2 linked regions of the Saccharomyces cerevisiae S288C genome follow. The protein of the gene in region 1 binds, or shares a complex with, the protein of each later gene. Each region holds a gene or a part of one and is shown on either strand. Other genes may lie near its edges. The genes, in order: RSC1 and RSC3.

Region 1 (5,383 bases):
CGCCATTATTGCCATTTCTGGGTTATATGTATACATGGAATTCGGTACGGCTATACCGAAAAATGGTGGTGAAAAAAACTACCTGGAGGCTATTTTCAGGAAACCAAAATTCTTCATTACCTGTATGTATGCTGCGTATATTTTCTTCCTAGGTTGGGCTGCTGGTAATTCCATCAATACAGCTATTATGTTTTTAACTGCTGCTGATACTGAAGTGACCAAATGGAATCAAAGAGGTATTGGTGTGGCCGTCGTTTTTTTTGCATTCCTAATTAATTCTCTGAATGTCAAGATTGGTCTATATTTGCAAAACATTTTAGGTATTTTCAAGATTGGTATTGTCCTCTTCATTTCTATTACCGGTTGGGTTGCCCTTGGCGGTGGTCTCAAAGATGGTTATCAATCTCACAACTTTCGTAATGCTTTTGAAGGTACTGAAACCGCCACTGCTTATGGTATTGTTAACGCCTTATATAGTGTTATTTGGTCGTTTGTCGGTTACTCCAATGTTAACTATGCACTTGGTGAAGTTAAGAACCCTGTGAGAACTTTGAAGATTGCTGGTCCTACATCGATGGTCTTCTTGGCTATAATCTACATTTTTGTGAACATTGCTTACTTCGCTGTGGTTCCAAAAGATAAGTTAATTTCTTCAAAATTGATTTTAGCTGCTGACTTCTTCGATATTGTGTTTGGCGGCCAAGCCAAGAGAGCAGCAGCCGCACTGGTCGGGTTGAGTGCCTTAGGAAATGTTCTTTCTGTCATTTTTTCTCAGGGTAGAATTATTCAACAACTAGGACGTGAAGGTGTGTTGCCCTTTTCTAATTTCTTTGCCTCTTCTAAGCCATTCAACTCCCCAATGGTTGGTTTGTTTCAACATTTTATTGTTTGTACAGTAACCATTTTAGCCCCACCTCCAGGTGATGCATATTTGCTAGTCCAAAATTTAATTTCCTACCCAATGAATATTATTAATTTTGCCATTAGCGCGGGTTTGCTTTGGATATACTGGCAACGTAGACAAGGTAAAATTGAATGGAACCCACCAATTAAGGCCGGTGTTTTTGTTACGGGATTTTTCACATTATCCAATTTATACCTGATTATTGCTCCTTACGTTCCACCTTCAAATGGCGAGTCGGTGTATTCAAGCATGCCATACTGGATCCACTGTGTAATTGCTTGGGGTATTTTCTTCTTTGGTGGTGTTTACTACGTTGTTTGGGCCCAATTATTGCCAAGATGGGGCCACTACAAATTGGTTTCCAAGGATGTGCTTGGTGAAGATGGGTTCTGGAGAGTCAAAATTGCCAAAGTTTATGATGACACTATTGGCGATGTCGATACACAAGAAGACGGCGTTATTGAAACGAATATAATCGAACATTACAAAAGTGAACAAGAAAAATCGCTGTAACCAAAAAGGTACTTACCATCTCATCTCGATTCTTATAATCACGTATGAACATTCTTATAATTGCATTTTCTTTATACAAAATATATAGGTACCAAACCTCATTATAATTTCTGCCATTTAATAGTTTAAGATGCTATTCCGTTTCGTATTTTTTCAATTTTTATACCTACTATTGCGCGAAATCAAAATAGCATACTAAGAAAAAGCAATATCATGAATTGCTGATGAGATAGATTCAAATTGGAATTAACTAAATCTATCAGCAACGCTATAAACACAGATAAGCGCTCTATAAAATCGTTTGTCTAACGTTTTATATAGTTCTTTATTGCTCCCTTACCCTCTTTCCGTCAATAGTGATTGTTGTCTCGGGAAAGCTTTTTTTTTTATTAATCAAAGGCCCAATTGAGTTACAACTGAAATTAAGCTGAGTTGGCGGAACAGTGTGGTATTAGCGAAGGGAAAATCTGTGAAGTGCCCTAGCTACAAAACAGAGATAAAAAAAATTATATTTCAAGCATGGTGGAGCAAGATAATGGGTTTTTACAGAAGCTACTCAAAACACAATACGATGCTGTCTTCCATTTAAAGGATGAAAATGGTATAGAAATATATCCAATATTCAATGTACTGCCACCTAAAAAAGAATATCCAGACTATTACATTATAATAAGGAATCCGATATCTTTAAACACTTTAAAGAAACGATTGCCCCATTATACATCGCCACAAGATTTTGTTAACGATTTTGCGCAAATTCCTTGGAATGCAATGACATACAATGCAAAAGATTCAGTAATTTACAAATATGCCATTCTTCTTGAGTCTTTTATTAAAGGAAAGATCGTGCACAATATAAGAAAACATTATCCCGAGGTGACATATCCATCTCTAGGTCGAATTCCGGAAATATTCGCAGAGAGTATGCAACCCTCCGATTTATCCTCGAACCCCATTAATACACAGGAAAATGATGAAAAGGCTGGCTTAAATCCAGAGATGAAAATGGCTTTCGCAAAACTAGATAGTTCGATCACTGAAAGGAAACCAACCAACCAAGATTACAGGATGCAACAAAAAAACTCACCAGCGTTTCCAACCCATTCTGCTTCTATAACACCGCAGCCGCTGGCTTCACCTACTCCAGTTGTTAACTATGCAAATATTACCTCGGCGCATCCCAAAACCCATGTTAGACGCGGTAGACCACCAGTAATTGATCTACCCTATGTACTGAGGATTAAGAATATCTTGAAGATGATGAGAAGAGAGGTCGACCAAAATAATAAGACGCTTACCCTCTGTTTTGAAAAACTACCAGATAGAAACGAGGAGCCAACCTATTACTCTGTCATAACAGATCCCATTTGTCTAATGGATATTAGGAAAAAGGTTAAGTCCAGAAAATATAGAAATTTCCATACTTTTGAGGAAGACTTTCAATTAATGCTAACAAATTTTAAGCTTTATTATTCTCAAGATCAGAGCAATATAATACGAGCTCAACTATTGGAGAAAAACTTCAATAGATTAGTGCGAATTGAATTATCCAAACCTGATGAAGACTATTTACCTGAAGGTGAATTAAGATATCCTCTAGATGATGTAGAAATCAATGATGAGAAATACCAGATAGGTGATTGGGTTCTTTTACATAATCCAAACGACATCAATAAACCCATTGTTGGCCAGATTTTTAGATTATGGTCTACTACAGATGGAAACAAATGGTTGAATGCTTGCTGGTATTTTAGGCCAGAACAAACCGTTCATCGGGTGGATAGGTTATTCTACAAGAATGAGGTCATGAAAACTGGTCAATATAGAGATCATCCTATTCAGGATATTAAGGGAAAGTGCTACGTTATTCATTTTACCAGATTCCAGCGTGGGGATCCTAGCACGAAAGTCAATGGTCCTCAATTTGTTTGCGAATTCCGTTATAATGAAAGTGATAAGGTTTTCAACAAAATCAGGACTTGGAAAGCTTGCCTGCCGGAAGAACTCCGTGACCAAGATGAGCCTACGATACCTGTTAATGGAAGAAAATTTTTTAAATACCCTTCTCCAATAGCAGATTTGTTACCAGCAAACGCAACTCTAAATGACAAAGTTCCAGAACCCACGGAGGGAGCCCCAACTGCCCCACCTTTGGTAGGCGCTGTATATTTAGGCCCCAAATTAGAGAGGGATGATCTGGGAGAGTATTCAACTTCTGATGACTGCCCTCGATACATAATCAGACCAAATGATCCACCAGAAGAAGGTAAAATAGATTACGAAACAGGAACAATAATTACAGATACCTTAACCACAAGCAGTATGCCCAGAGTGAACAGTTCCTCCACAATACGTTTACCCACTTTAAAGCAGACTAAATCAATTCCCAGCTCCAATTTCAGGTCCTCATCAAATACTCCACTATTGCATCAGAACTTCAATCAGACTTCCAATTTTTTGAAATTAGAAAACATGAATAATAGTTCTCATAATTTACTATCACATCCTTCCGTTCCTAAGTTTCAATCGCCCTCTTTATTAGAACAGAGTAGTCGCTCTAAATACCATAGTGCAAAAAAACAGACACAGCTATCATCAACAGCTCCCAAAAAGCCTGCATCTAAAAGTTTTACATTATCCTCAATGATTAATACCTTAACTGCTCATACCTCGAAGTACAACTTCAACCATATTGTTATTGAAGCCCCGGGTGCATTTGTGGTTCCTGTACCAATGGAAAAAAATATAAGAACCATCCAATCGACAGAACGTTTCAGTAGATCAAATCTAAAAAACGCTCAAAATCTCGGTAATACTGCTATTAATGACATAAATACTGCAAATGAGCAAATAATATGGTTCAAAGGGCCCGGTGTAAAAATCACAGAGAGAGTTATTGATTCCGGAAATGATTTAGTACGGGTACCTTTGAATAGATGGTTCTGTAAAAACAAAAGGAGAAAACTGGATTACGAAGACATTGAAGAAGATGTTATGGAACCACCAAATGACTTCAGCGAAGATATGATTGCTAATATTTTTAATCCTCCGCCGAGCTTGAATTTAGATATGGATTTAAATCTAAGCCCATCCTCGAATAACTCTTCTAATTTCATGGATTTAAGCACAATTGCAAGCGGTGATAACGATGGGAAAGAATGCGATACGGCGGAGGAGAGTGAAGACGAAAACGAAGATACAGAAGACGAGCACGAAATTGAAGATATCCCGACCACGTCTGCTTTTGGCTTAAATTCTTCCGCTGAATACCTTGCATTCAGATTACGAGAATTTAATAAATTATGACCATGATAAATTCACCACATGTATCTATATATGTTCATGCATATACCATATATATTTTGTTATTCATACGATAGACCTCAATCGTTTTGTTGCCTTTCAAAACGCACAATTGTAAACCTAGCTTACTATTTATCTATCGCGGTCCAGAATGGCTTTCCTTTTTAAATTCATCCCAGAAGCCACGTCGGAGTAAAGTATTCGGCCTTGATGACTATTTCGAATCGAAATGAAAGAATAAAAGGAACTAGGAGGTTGTTCCAACAATTTTCCATGCCGTAATTTCATCGGTTATTAGGTTACCAGCATTTATCTCAGTTTATTTGAGTCAAGGTAATTTATTTTCATTCATTACTGTATGGAGTAAAAATGAATTCCATTTATGTATTCGCACGAAGAGAAATTTATCATCCGTCAGAGACACCAAATTACGGCCGAATTTAGATTTGTTTGCACGTAAATATGAGCCAATGAAAGCGTTATTATTCAATGTTTCCAAATTGTTTTCCACCGTTTTATTTTTCCCCAAGAATTCGCTTTTATGAATGTTTTTAATATATGCAATCATTTTATCAAATCCACCGATGATAAAGTTCCAGTGTTCACTCAACATTTTCATAGAATCGTCATGGCTTCTGGAATCGACTGTTAAAATAAAACAAT
Region 2 (5,417 bases), on another chromosome or scaffold:
AAGAAGCGAAGAAAAAAAGGAAGCTCCATTGATCTATCTTGGGCTCAGAATGATCTTAAGCAAAACAAAGAAACCTAAAAGCATGAATAAGCCAATATATTTCAGCAAGTTTCTTGTAACTGAACAAGTTTTCTATGTATGCACTCTCATATGTTTTTTTGTACCCCATTCGCACCATTGCGTTACTAACTATATGGAGACCTTATAATCTCTGCTTCTTTACAGAAGTCAAAATATACGTATGCATTGGTAAACTTGAAACCAATTGTACCCGGACATGTACTGATCGTTCCACTGAGAACTACGGTTTTAAACTTATCAGATCTGACCATGCCTGAATCTCAAGATTATTTCAAGACTTTACAGTTAATACATAGATTTATTAAGTGGCAATATAAGGCTGACTCTATCAACGTTGCCATCCAAGATGGACCTGAGGCCGGACAGTCGGTACCCCACTTGCATACACACATTATTCCACGTTATAAAATAAACAATGTAGGGGATTTAATATACGATAAATTAGATCATTGGGATGGTAATGGGACTTTGACTGATTGGCAAGGAAGAAGAGACGAATATTTGGGTGTTGGTGGTAGGCAAGCAAGAAAAAATAACTCTACATCGGCCACTGTAGACGGGGATGAACTCTCACAAGGTCCTAATGTCTTGAAGCCAGACAGTCAAAGGAAGGTTCGAGCTTTAACCGAAATGAAAAAAGAAGCTGAGGATCTTCAAGCCAGACTAGAAGAATTTGTATCTTCTGATCCTGGTTTAACACAATGGTTATAGTTCAATAAATAATAGATTCATACTTACGATATAAAAAATAGTAGGGAAGTTAATTTTCGTTTCGCAGCGAATCCCTTTTAGCAGAGGAAAAAAAAGATGAAACCATCCTTACTACTTTCCTCGAGGAGACTCAACAGTAAAGGTTACTTTCAATTCAATAAACAAAAGGCACAGCGATATCCGCAATTATGAAGCTTCAATTTTTTTCCTTTATTACCTTATTTGCTTGTCTCTTCACAACAGCCATTTTTGCGAAAGAGGACACGGCAGAAGATCCTGAGATCACACACAAGGTCTACTTTGACATTAATCACGGTGATAAACAAATTGGTAGAATTGTTATGGGATTGTATGGTCTCACCACACCCCAAACCGTTGAAAACTTTTACCAGTTGACCATTTCCAGGGACCCTAAGATGGGTTATTTGAACTCTATCTTCCATCGCGTTATTCCTAACTTCATGATTCAAGGTGGCGATTTCACTCACAGATCAGGTATTGGGGGTAAGTCTATCTTCGGAAACACGTTCAAAGATGAGAATTTTGATGTCAAACATGACAAACCAGGCAGATTGTCTATGGCCAATCGTGGTAAAAACACCAACGGATCCCAATTTTTCATCACCACCGTCCCATGCCCATGGTTGGACGGTAAGCACGTTGTCTTTGGAGAAGTCTTGGATGGTATGGACGTAGTTCACTACATTGAAAACGTTAAGACCGACAGTAGAAATATGCCTGTAAAGGAAGTTATTATTGTGGAAAGTGGTGAACTGGAAACTGTTCCTTTGGACAATAAAGACGCCGCCAAGCTACAGGAAGAGATCAAAGCGGAAGCTAGCGAAGCAGCCCACGATGAACTCTAAACTGCATCACTATTCAGGAGATGTATAGGCCAGCTATGTAACTATATAGTGCTTATAACAGTTGATTATCACATAGAACGAGTATGTTACCCTATGGCCCTTTTCTGGCACAACTTCACAAGAGTATTTCAATTGACCAACGTGGGTCTTGTTGACCAGCTGGGATCACACAGACCAAGAACTACCTTTATTATTAGGAACATACTGCTTTCTGGACACTTCCACTGCTATACCTTCTCGCAAATAGCCATAGTTCACCAATATTCATTCGGCCCGTTAGACGCTTGTAAGACCACTTTCCCGTTTTCGCCCGAGAAGATATATTAGCTGCTTACATTAGATTATTTCATCAAAACTCACGGCTTTCAAACCAAAGTCATTGGTGCTCTGCTGCAATTGCCCCATACTACGCAGATATTTAAAATCGAGGTTTCTGTGATATTTTCTTAAGCTCTTATCTACAAAAATAGCATTTCAGAACCAAAAAACAACGATGGATATTCGTGGTAGAAAAATGAAAAAACCGCCTGCATGCGTGCAGTGCCGTAAGAGGAAGATAGGCTGCGATCGTGTTAAGCCGATTTGTGGGAACTGTATGAAGCATAATAAAATGGACTGCTTTTATCCGGACGTTCCCGGACAATACGTTCCCTCTAGTTCTTCCTCTTCCAATACACGCCAAGTAGCCAACGGTCCGTACTTAAACTCTTATTACGCTTCTCGTCGTGTCTCCAAGGAAACTGCTGCACTTTTGCAGAAAAATCCAGAACTGGCTTCTTTGGAGCAAATAAGAGAATACAACACGCGTCTGCAACTGCTCAATGCTCAAAATCAACTTAATAATAGATCATCTGCGGCAAATGCAACCTTGAATCAACAACACACTCAATATATTCCAAAATCAGTGCCTTCCTTGGAAAGTAAGCCAGTCACTTCTGCAAACGAATCTTCTACTCCACTCAATTGGGTTCAAGGCCCTGCAATTTTTCATATGCTAACCTCTCCTTACACACAAGATGAAATCATCAATCATGAAATGAATTTCTTGAAAGGCAGACTACTGGAATTGCAAGAAATTACAGGTAAGAAAATTACGGGAGTAAATCTTGATCTCAAGCAGGATTCCTCAGCGCAAATGCAGTCTTCACACTCCAATAGAAACCAAGAGGAGTTTTTGACAATTAAGAAAAGAAAACTGAGTGAAGACGGCGTTACGGACGGGGACGGTAAGCCAATTCCAGAGAGTGAAAGAAGACCTCATCTTAATGAATTTAAGGATTTAGATCCTCAATTTTTGGATACTAATAAAGTTTTTAATGTGTTTAATTCTGCTATTTCAGAAGAAGGTAGAAACAGATTATGGCTGTTACCAAAAAATATAAATAAAAGTTCTATCTTCCAGATTCAGTATTTGATTGAACGTGATCCTTTCCTATTCAAATTCTTCAATGACTTGAATATATTAATTGAAACGCAATTTAATGGACCTTTGCACGATTTGGTAGCAAGCCGTAACAGTATTGAGCGCAACAGTGGCATATCTCAAATATTAAAGTTTCCTTCACAATCGATAACACAGACCCTTATCAACAAATACTTATCCACGATAACGGAAACGAATTCAATACTTCCAATATTAAAACCAAAGAGACTATTACCCATAGTTGAGCAGCTTTTTCCTTCTAACACCATTAATAAGCCAAATTCTAAAGATTTTGAAACTATTTTTCAAGTTTTTAGTGTGACCAATGATCAGCTACTAAATCTAGGATTTATTACTCTCTGTCTCCTGATTCTTTTTGAATCGTTGAATTCTACGGTTTTGATTCCTCTTAGAGATGATGAACACTTGCAATTATTCAATGTGTTATTCAACTACTTGCCTTTGTTGAAGTCTAATTTAACAACGCTTAGATTTGAAATTGAAAAAAGGTCAATGTGTAATATAGAGACCCTGCGGTTTATTTCTTTGTGGAAATATTACCAATTTGTGATGGACACGTCGTCATCGTCCTCTTTCGTAATTGATTACGACGAAGATATGCATATGGCATGTTTACTATCGTTAAATCATGAAACTCAAAATCAATCTCATATTTTGACCTGGAATTTCATATTTAAGAACTACTGCTGGAGACACCTTTTCTTAGGTCAATTGCCGTTGCTAATGTCTGAACCTTTCACAAATTCTACCCCAATTATTGATCCTTTGTTGAACAACGATTTTGAATTGATTGATTTTGAAGTAAACTTGATGAAATATTTGCAAAGTAAAGATCAACAACTATCCATTGATAAAATTATACAGTTAATCAAGCTTTTGAAAAATAAGAATATCGAGGTCAGCCAAGGATGTTTAACGACTCCTTCAATAATTAATAATATCATGGATTCTCTAATCTACAGGAATTCAATGTTATATTTGAACTTTTACCTCTTATTGCAATTTGAAACATTGAAAAATTATGCTAAATTTAACGAAATTTTGGAAGACTTTTTGGAATTGTCGAGGGAGACCTTGTTCTTTGTTTTCTCGAACTTAGCCAATATTAAATTTGCTGGTCATGAATTCACATTCATCAATAAATCTATTGTGGTTCTGCAAACTTTAGTTTTAATGCTTTTGGCGCTCTATCAAAGGTCTTTTGATTCTTCAAAGAGGACGAATGATGCTAATGAAATCAGTGAGCAAACAGATATTCATAGTAATAACGACAATAGTAAGAGAATAAAGAATAAAAATGTTATTCATTTAATTATCAACAAAATTGCAATGTTGTTAAGTGATTATACCAAGAATTGTAAAAAGCAAAATAAACTCATCGAAAATCTGATTATTAAAATTAAGACAATCTCCAAGTATATCAAAAATCTTGAGGAGAATAAGGTAACGACTAGCGCCGATTCAAATTATTCCATTAATAACGGATTTTCTGGCATATCTGCAGAGCAGTTGATTAAATTAAATCACGAGTTGAGTAAAATTTCAGAATCTCTGATAAAAACGGATTTTTATGAACAGAGGAAAAATAGCACAGTTTCTAATGGAGTTTTAGGCGCAGCAGCTCCTGTTGATAGCGACGCAAATTCGGATACTTTCGGTTTAACAAAGGAGAATTTCAACGAAGTTTTTGAGGCTATTCGTAGCTAAAGCGACTCAAACAAATTAAAGAAGAAGTTGAGACTTTTATAGTATTTATTATTTAATCTGAGGATTTGTATTATTTTTTTATATAGAATGAATAAATCAGAAAAAGGAAATTATGAAAAGAAAAGAATGAGGAGAGTGGGAGATATTTAATGTTGTTAGCTATTTATCTGTATGGAAGTTATTACCTTCTTTTAAGATGGTACAAATAGCATATAGGTGGGTTTGGTATAAAGATCATTTAGTTTTTGTCATAGATTTTTCAATTGTGCATAGGACCAGTTTATGTTACCTCTATCATACTTATATTTTTTTATATACAAATTTTTAAATTACCGATATTATATATAGGCACCGATAGTATAGCCCACCAAAGCGCCCAAATAACCTCCAACAACAATAGGAATTGGCCAATTCTGCCAATCTCTATCCCAATCCAAAGGAATGACAACACAACTAATCCAACCCCCTACAACGATAAAGATAAAATACTTCTTCCATAATCCCACTTTGAAATCACAATTAAATACAGAATAAACTGCAGGGTATGCTAAAAATGCAAAATGCAGTGACAACAGCCAGGTTTCCCACAATAAGTCCATTAATGGCGC

The links.
Region 2: RSC1 (region 1) and RSC3 share a complex: the UniProt entries of both Saccharomyces cerevisiae proteins name them as parts of the two forms of the RSC complex.

Annotation. Positions count from the first base shown.
Region 1 is NC_001139.9:599,725-605,107, forward strand, and holds RSC1 (RSC subunit protein RSC1), read left to right. Parts: upstream 1-1,936; coding exon 1,937-4,723; downstream 4,724-5,383. Other genes in the region: MUP1 (Mup1p), read left to right, coding at 1-1,417; LST7 (Lst7p), read right to left, coding at 5,049-5,383. UniProt on the Saccharomyces cerevisiae protein: Component of the chromatin structure remodeling complex (RSC), which is involved in transcription regulation and nucleosome positioning. RSC is responsible for the transfer of a histone octamer from a nucleosome core particle to naked DNA.
Region 2 is NC_001136.10:1,068,121-1,073,537, reverse strand, and holds RSC3 (Rsc3p), read left to right. Parts: upstream 1-2,151; coding exon 2,152-4,809; downstream 4,810-5,417. Other genes in the region: HNT2 (bis(5'-adenosyl)-triphosphatase), read left to right, coding at 50-136, 226-792; peptidylprolyl isomerase family protein CPR5, read left to right, coding at 981-1,658; mannose-ethanolamine phosphotransferase GPI11, read right to left, coding at 5,148-5,417. UniProt on the Saccharomyces cerevisiae protein: Component of the chromatin structure-remodeling complex (RSC), which is involved in transcription regulation and nucleosome positioning. RSC is responsible for the transfer of a histone octamer from a nucleosome core particle to naked DNA.